Linked DNA regions of Notamacropus eugenii. The protein of the gene in region 1 interacts with the protein of each later gene in a pairwise test. Links are inferred from orthologs where the notes say so. Each region holds a gene or a part of one and is shown on either strand. Other genes may lie near its edges. The genes, in order: EML1 and ISG20L2.

Region 1 (3,912 bases):
GAGGTTCCCGTCAGAGGGCCTTTCTCCAAAGCATCCCTTCTGCACTTGGCACTCCTCACCTCTTTGCCCCCTCCCCCGCCCCAGCTCTTGGAGGCCGTGCTTTGCGAGCAGGCAGCCTCGAACAAAACCGGAGGACTTGGCCAAGACTAAAGTTGGGCTAAACTCGTGGAAAAAGCATCATAGGAGGCGTCTACGTGTGTCCATGTTTGGTGCTGGACACGATAAGAATGGCCCCCGGGCCCGGACTGATGCTCTCCGGGATTTGGGTTTTTTAAACAAAGTATTTTTGTGGGAAGGGGAGGGCCGGCCCCGGGTGGCCCCTGGGCCCCGCCCCCTGCTGCCGGGGGGCCTCGCCCGCGGATGGGCACGTGCGTCCCTGACGGTCCCGGGGGCCCCCTCCCTCCGCTCGGGGGCCCCGCGCGAGCCCCTAGGCTCGGGCCCTTGGCGCCCAGGCCCAGCGCCTGCTCGTTCCTGCCCGTCCGCCCTTGGTCTGGCCGCCTTCTCTCAGGCAGCTCCTCCAATCCTCTTACAACTACTGAGGGTGTCTTCAGCCCCTTTCCTTTGTTCTCTCTACACGCGCACACACACACACACATTCCCCCAAAAAGGGGGGAAAAAAGCTCATTCCTGCTCCCAGCCGCCATTTCCATCCCTCGCCCGGGTCGGCCAGGCGGAGGCCGCTACTTCACGCGAGAGATTCCCCAGCGCGCGATCGGCCTGGGGCCGTTATACAGGGAGAGGGGAGGGGAGGCCCGCGCCTCGGCGCTGCTGGTTCTTAGGCCCCGTCGGTACCTGCCGCGCCCAAGGAGGGGGCGGCCAGGAGGTCATTCGGGCCCCCCCTTCCCTCTGGAGAAAGAGCGCCCCTCTCCCGCGCCGGCTCCTCGCCCCACACATGCCCGTTCCTTCTCGCCGCCTATTTCCCCCTCCCTCTCCCGGCCACCCCAAGTCCGCCCCCTCCCGGGCAGAGTCTGTCTTTCCCCAGCTCGGGCCGGCCTTGGTCGCCTTCCTCGTTCACGAGGCGGGCGGGCGGGCGAGCGGCCGCAGCTGCCCTGGGAGAGCGCGCGGCGGCGGCGGCGCCGGCGGGGTGAAGGAGGTTGCCATGGTAACCGGCAGCAGCAGCCGCCACAGCAGGGCCGGCCCCAGCCCCAGCCCTAGAGCTCAGTGTGTGGGTGAGAAGCGGCGAGAGCAGCAGCGGCGGCGGCGGCGGCCAAGGCTCGGCTTCGGAGCCGCCGCTGAGACCGGGTAAATCGGGAGCTGCCGCGGCTGCAGGATGGAGGACGGATTTTCTAGTTACAGCAGCCTTTATGACACTTCCTCGCTGCTCCAGTTCTGCAATGGTAAGGAGAGGGGACTCGTGTGTGTTTGTGTTTGTGGATACAAGCTCGCGCGGGGAGGGGGGGTCTCTCTTTGCTGCTCCCCCCGTTCCCCACCCTTCCACACCTCGCGAGCCTCTTTCCCCAGATCCCTCGCAGAGCTCGCGCCCCCTCCATTCATCCCTTCCTGCTGCGGTATCCCCCGGCGGGGCGCTAGCTGGGAGAGAACAGAGATCTCTCGGGGATTCTGGCTGCAAACCTGGTCTTGGAAGAAAAAAAAGAGGGAGGGAAGGCAAGCAGAAAGGAGCTTGGAAGCTGCTGCTGCGGCGGCGGCGGCGGCGGCGGCGGCCGTGGTGGTGGTGGTGGTGGCGGCGGCTGCCTCCCCTTGTTTCTGCTCCAAGACTAGCTCCTCTGCAAAGGGAAAAGAGGCATTGAAGGAGGTTAGTGGGGAAGGGAGGCATGCTTCTTGGATGACTCGGAGGAGTCAGTCCAGAGTGGCTCTCTTAGTCCAACCTGTCCCACCCAGGGAAAAAGCAGAAACTTCTTCCCCATTTCTCGGTTAAGTCCAAGGGAAAGTTTAGTTTACTTCCGTGGGAAAAGAAATGTTTGTTGCCAAAAGGAAAAGTTGCATTTGGCTCTGGGGTTTTCAGGAAAAATTCGGAATTTTCTGTTAACTCTTTGACTTTCCAGCATCCCAACAAGTGACCGCTGGTGAGTGTATTTGTGGTGTTGTGTCGAACTGCATGAAATGGAGCGAATGACATCCTCTCCAAGTCCCTCCATGGCCTGTTGAATAACCAACCACTCTATCCCCCTGACGTGTAAAAGCCACTGCCCACTCACTAAATCTTGTGCATTTGACACGTGTATAGTTTATCCAGTCTCATAAGGGGGGAAGATTCTTATCTGAAGTCTCTCACAGTTGTGTCATTAGTGCGTTTTTAGAAAAGCATAAATTGCTAGTGATTTCCAGTTTTGTTCTTTGAAATTTCTTCGATATTTATCCCAAGACTTTTTGGTACTGACACTTAAATAAAAATAAAAAATATAGAAACTCAACGTCCTGGCAGATTTCTTAGCAGTAATCTTTTCAGAGTGTAATTGACACAAAGGGAAAGCTAAAATAGTGCTTTGAAAATTAGGGGGGGAAATTAATAGAAGAGAAAGTTCAAGACACAATGTTACTGTTGTAACAAAATATGTTGCTTTTTGTGTATTTTATGTAGGTTCTCTTGGCAACTACTGTTGCAAAAGAGCAAAGAAACAAATCACTTAATATTAACAAAAGATGAATACAAGAATTAACTTGCTAACCAAACTTCAAACAAACCTACTTTAGTTACATTGTTCTTCATGAAATAACGCTTAAATAAGTCTAGAGTTTATATTAAAAACTTTTTTTAATGCGAGAGAAGTATTCAACTGATTTTTGTGCATTAGATTCTATTTGATTCTTAGGGGCAAGAAAAATAAAATTGTAGTTTATTGACAGGGTATGTTTTTAAAAAGTGATCCTAGACTCTTGAAACATAATTTAAGCATGAAAAATATGTTCATAATATCCTGCATTTTCTCTGAAACGTGATGTATGAAAAATTGTACACAAAGAAGTTTCATACATATTTTCTACATTTGATTTATTGCTTTAGAAATGTTTTCCAAAGTGTTTGTTTTTTTTTTGTTTTTGGTGAGTATGATCCTCTAAATTTTACTTGAATATGTAGAGCAATGAAAACAAGCCTAGATCCCAGCTTTCTTGGATTAATTTGTTTTATTTTTGTTTCAGTGAGAGAGAACTTTCTTGTTATAAAGTAATTTGTTTTCAATTTTGACCTGTATATAAACTCTATCATAATAATTTAATCTTTAGATACAGTAACAAGTATTTTTTTGTTTCTTCATGAATATATGTATACATATAATCATATAAGTATATACATAATATTTATCTAAAGTTCAGACTTCCATATCCTAGGGAGATTCATTATGATTTCTTTTTTTAAAAATAGTTAGCTAATGGGCAAACCAAGTGCTTCAGTGAGGTGTGAGAAAAATACTTTTGTAAAACTTAAGATGTATCATTAGAACTACTTCCAAAGTAGTAAAAGAATAAATTAAAGATTTCCAGCAAATCAAGTGGACTTTTAATAGAGTATTTATGTAAAGACATCTGCAGAAATTCCGCAAGATAAAAAAAGTGCAAAAATTGTGATTAGTAGTGAGAGAGTCCCCATACCAATGAGATCATAGAGTTCCATCTAAGGCTATATGCTGCATAATGTGCTAAGCTATTAGTACATCCTTTTCATATTAATAACATGCTACTTTCTATGTGATTTAAGGAGTTCCTATTTGCTATGTATGGAAGATAGGTTTTCATTTTGTTCTAACAGTGTTTATTCCAGTGCAGTAGATTTCTATGCGTTTTCAACCTTAAAAAATCTAAGCTTCTTGATGGAAGTTAATAATAGTTGACAGTATCTAACTTACTCTGATTCTTAGGATCATGGAGATAGAAGAGCTAGAAGGGACTTCAGAGGTCATTTGATAAAACCTCTTCATTTTGCAGAAGATGAAACTGAGTCCCAGAGAGGTTGTC
Region 2 (3,912 bases), on another chromosome or scaffold:
TTCTGGCTCCATAATGCATTATGTTACTGTTGTCTTTAATAGGAAATTGATCAATTAATTAATTAAATCATAGAACGTATGCATTTAGTTTGTTACCTTTTCTTAACAAAGTTTTCAGGTCAACACTATTTATCCTGGATATGGCTTGCTTTGTGTACATTTGTTTACATGTTGTCTCCCCCATTAGACTGTAGGTTCCTTGACGTCAAGAATTGTCTTTCTTGTATCCTCCCTCTCCCTTCCCCCAATTTAGCACAGTGATCGGCAGAGCAGGCACTTAATTTTAAGTTCCCAGAGGGAAGGGGCCGTCTTTTGCCCCTTTTTGTATTCCCAACACTTGGCACAATGACTGGCTCACAGTAGATGCTTCATGTTCATTGATTATTTATTTATCCTGTATATGGCCTGCTGTGTGTGTGTATATATGTGTATATATATATATATATATATATATATATATATATATATATATATATATATATACACACACACATACACACACGTTTGCATGTAGTCTGTCCTTACAGCTAAGTTCCTCGGGGACAAGGTCTATCTTTTGTTCCTTTCTGCATTCCCTGCGTTTGGCACAGTGACTGGCACATAGTGGGCATTTAGGAAATGTTCACAGACTGCCTGACTAAAAACAACCTAGAAAGCAGATGGGGAAGAAGAGGGGCGCTGGCTGCCCGCGACCACCTAGACAGTGAGGCGTACTCAAGTCACAGAGCGCAGACACGTGCTGAGAAAAGGGGGAGGAGATAGCGTGGGAACGTAGAGACGTCACAGAGCAGTAACGCCGGGTACGTCACGCGCTGGGCGGTGTGGGGCGGAGCCTTCGGGCCCCGGCAGGGATGAGGGCAAAGGAAAAGACTACCCTAACCAGCCCAGGCTCCGCCCTGCCCGCCCTCCTCCCGGAAGTGAGGCCCGACCCCACGGCGCCCCCCGGCCCCACTCCCCTCAGTCCCCGACCTTACCTTCCGAGTTGGACTTCCACGGGGCCCGAGGGGCCGGGGAGCGCGTGCCGCCCCCGCCCCCACCGACCCTATCCCCACCCTCCTTTCCGCTTCCGCTCCCTTTTCCCCAGTCGGAGTCGCTCTCCTCACTGCTCGGGGTGGGGGTCGCCGGGGTGCCCGAGGGGCCCCAGGCGCGTTCCCGTTACATACCTCCACGCGTTCCCCCGCGTGTTTGTCGCCCGCAGCCGCGCAGGCGCGGTCTCATCTCCACTTCCGCCTCCGGTCGCTTCCGGCCTCTACGGGGGCCGCCAGAGGAGGTGAGTGTAACGCGATGGGGTGTTCGCCCGGCGCCCGGCCGGGGGTTTCTCGGGCCGTGTTGGGACTAGATCGGGGTGGGGCCGTACCCCCTGGCCGGAAGGCTCTCGAGCCCCGGATTCCCACCGTCCCCTGGGGAGTGATGCCATCCTGCAGCAGCTTCTCCTGCCTCAGCCTCGATTTCCCCTCTTGTTCATTCATCCGCATCCCGGGTCAGACAGAGGCCTGCCTCTGCTGGCCAGGACAGTGTTCGTAATCACGGGATTGAAAGCCACAGGCGTCTTAGAGAGCATCTAGTGCAACCTTCCGAGTCTAGAAATGGGGAAACTGAGGCACAGAGAAGGGGAGGTGGACACCGGGCCCGAAGCTTCCGGGTACATTAGATGCTGAAAGGGGGGAGCAGGAAGAACCTGGAGGATTCGGGTAGGGGACTGACAAGGGGAGAGAGCAGATCCATTTTCTAGGGTTTAAGCTTGAAGGGGATAGGCCATGGACGCTTTGGTTGACTGACATTGCCCGTGGTAATAATAAAGGTAGCAAGTATTACAACTCACATTTTTCGGAAGGTGTCGGGACCTTGAACAGTGTGGGTTGTAACCGCTTTCTAATTGCAGGACGTTAGGCAGATCACTTCCATTCAGCCTGAGTGCTTCAGTTTCCCAAGGAAACTGACTTACCACGAACAGGATTGAAACCTACATGTTCTTTCTAAATCTTTTCATCTGTATCATGCTGCCTCTCAACATCTCATTCATCCTTTCTCTTTTGACTAAGTTCTTTTCCCCTACTCTCACTCCCTCCAAACACTCTGGCTTTTAAAGTGATTTCTCTAGTCCCTATCTTAAAACCTTTCAGGTTGGGTATTTTTCCAGATATCTAAGGTTATGCTGAAGCTTATAAAGAGTCCATCTATTGGACCCTCAGACTGGGGTCAGCTTGGTCACTCTTCTTTCCATAGGGTATGCTACACACCTCAAGATGTGAGTCTCTGGCCTTTGGCCAGGAATAAGTCCCCAAACTTCCCTGTTTTTAGAAGCCACTCTCTGAAGCGAGATCCCTCCTGGTCATTCTTCTCTCCAGCCCTTCTTGACAATGTCTACCCTGATTCTCAACTTGGACTTTGGGGACTGTCCTCCCCCAAAGAAGGCAACTGAAGGGAACCACAGGCACCAGCGTTTCATCCAACGACAACGGCGGATACAGAGGAACCTTAAGCAGAAACAGATGCAGGTCCCTGCCAGGCCTTCGGGCTCAGGGCATTCTAAACTTCAAAATAATGGGGGGACCCTTAGCACAAATAGTAAACAGAAACTCCACCCCCTCCCTGAACCTATAGAGGAGACACCGAATCAGAAAAATGGAATTGAAAAGCCCTTGAGTAGGAAGGTATCAACAGTGTCTTGGTTGACACCTGCTCCTTCACGGAAGACCAGTTCAGTATCTATATCATCTAAGGTAGATCTCCTGTCAGAATTCCAGAGTGGCCTCTCCCCCCTCCCCCCTGCCCGAACCCTCCCGCCTGCACCAGAGAAGGGCTGCAACAAGAAGATGGTGGCTCTTGATTGTGAGATGGTGGGCACAGGGCCTAAAGGCCATACCAGTTCTTTGGCCCGATGTAGCATTGTAAGTTACAGTGGTGACGTGCTATATGATGAATACATTCGTCCTCCCTGCAAAATTGTGGACTACCGGACCAAGTGGAGCGGTATCAAGAAGGAGCATATGGTTAATGCCACCCCTTTCAAGGCGGCCCGGAAAGAGGTGATGGGAGTGGGGAAAAGGGTGGGGGGTTAGGATGCTTGGGGTCTTTCTCTTAAAAGGAAACAATCAGGGAAAAGGCTTGACAGAGATTTGGAAGACTTCTAGATAGGAAGGGACTGGGCTTTGGTGAAAGGTGGTGGGGAGTGAGAGAGGAGGTAGTATCTTGGTTAGCACTATATACTGAGCACAGAGCCTTGTTCTGGAAATGGGTTCCTAAGACAGGGTAACCCTACTCACCCATTTCTCACCAAGATTTGGACAGAGACCGGAGCATAGGATCAAGTTGTATAGATATTATGGGGGAAGGAAAGATGTTAATTTGGGAAGGCCTCCTGGGCTAGGAGAAAAATGCAGAATAGGTTTGGAAAAGGGGACAAATGATGAAAGGAGTAATAATGCAGAGTTTAGGTGATGAAATGTTCCTACATGCTCTTTTGGCAGTCCTGTGACTACTCAGTCAGAATGCAGAATTGGGTGATGAGATGCTCCTGAGTGATCCTGTCTTAGTCCCATCACTGCACTCAGGCCTTGGATTGCTTTTCCCTATCACACAAAGGAGGGATCTAAGAGTACCTTTGGAGGAAGATGAATGTATGCATTTTCCAAGTGCTCAGTGGCTGGCATCACTTGGCTTGATGTCATACAGGAATGTCAGAACTGGATAGAAAACTTAGTAAGCATCTAGTCTAGCACCATTATTTTACAGATGAGGAAATGGAGGTTCAGAAAAAGTAAAGTCAGTTATTCATGACAAAAATAGAGCTGGAACACAAAACTAGGACTTACAGTCCAGGATTCATACCATTATGCCCTATTTACTTTTTGCCTTATCCTAACTCTTAGTTCAGCATCCTCTTCACAGAGTGTGGGGTTTGTGCTTCCT

Evidence for each region.
Region 2: the proteins of EML1 (region 1) and ISG20L2 interact in binary tests that used the Homo sapiens proteins (3 or more experiments, as listed by UniProt). The two-hybrid records come from large-scale screens. The link is inferred for Notamacropus eugenii from reciprocal best matches to the Homo sapiens genes EML1 and ISG20L2.

What each region holds. Positions count from the first base shown.
Region 1 is NC_092872.1:355,787,641-355,791,552, reverse strand, and holds the start of EML1 (echinoderm microtubule-associated protein-like 1), read left to right. Parts: upstream 1-1,157; 5' UTR 1,158-1,270; coding exon 1,271-1,337; intron 1,338-3,912. UniProt on the Homo sapiens protein: Modulates the assembly and organization of the microtubule cytoskeleton, and probably plays a role in regulating the orientation of the mitotic spindle and the orientation of the plane of cell division.
Region 2 is NC_092873.1:380,926,964-380,930,875, reverse strand, and holds the start of ISG20L2 (interferon-stimulated 20 kDa exonuclease-like 2), read left to right. Parts: upstream 1-1,145; 5' UTR 1,146-1,270; intron 1,271-2,226; exon of another isoform or gene 2,227-2,348; 5' UTR 2,349-2,360; coding exon 2,361-3,029; intron 3,030-3,912. UniProt on the Homo sapiens protein: 3'-> 5'-exoribonuclease involved in ribosome biogenesis in the processing of the 12S pre-rRNA. Displays a strong specificity for a 3'-end containing a free hydroxyl group.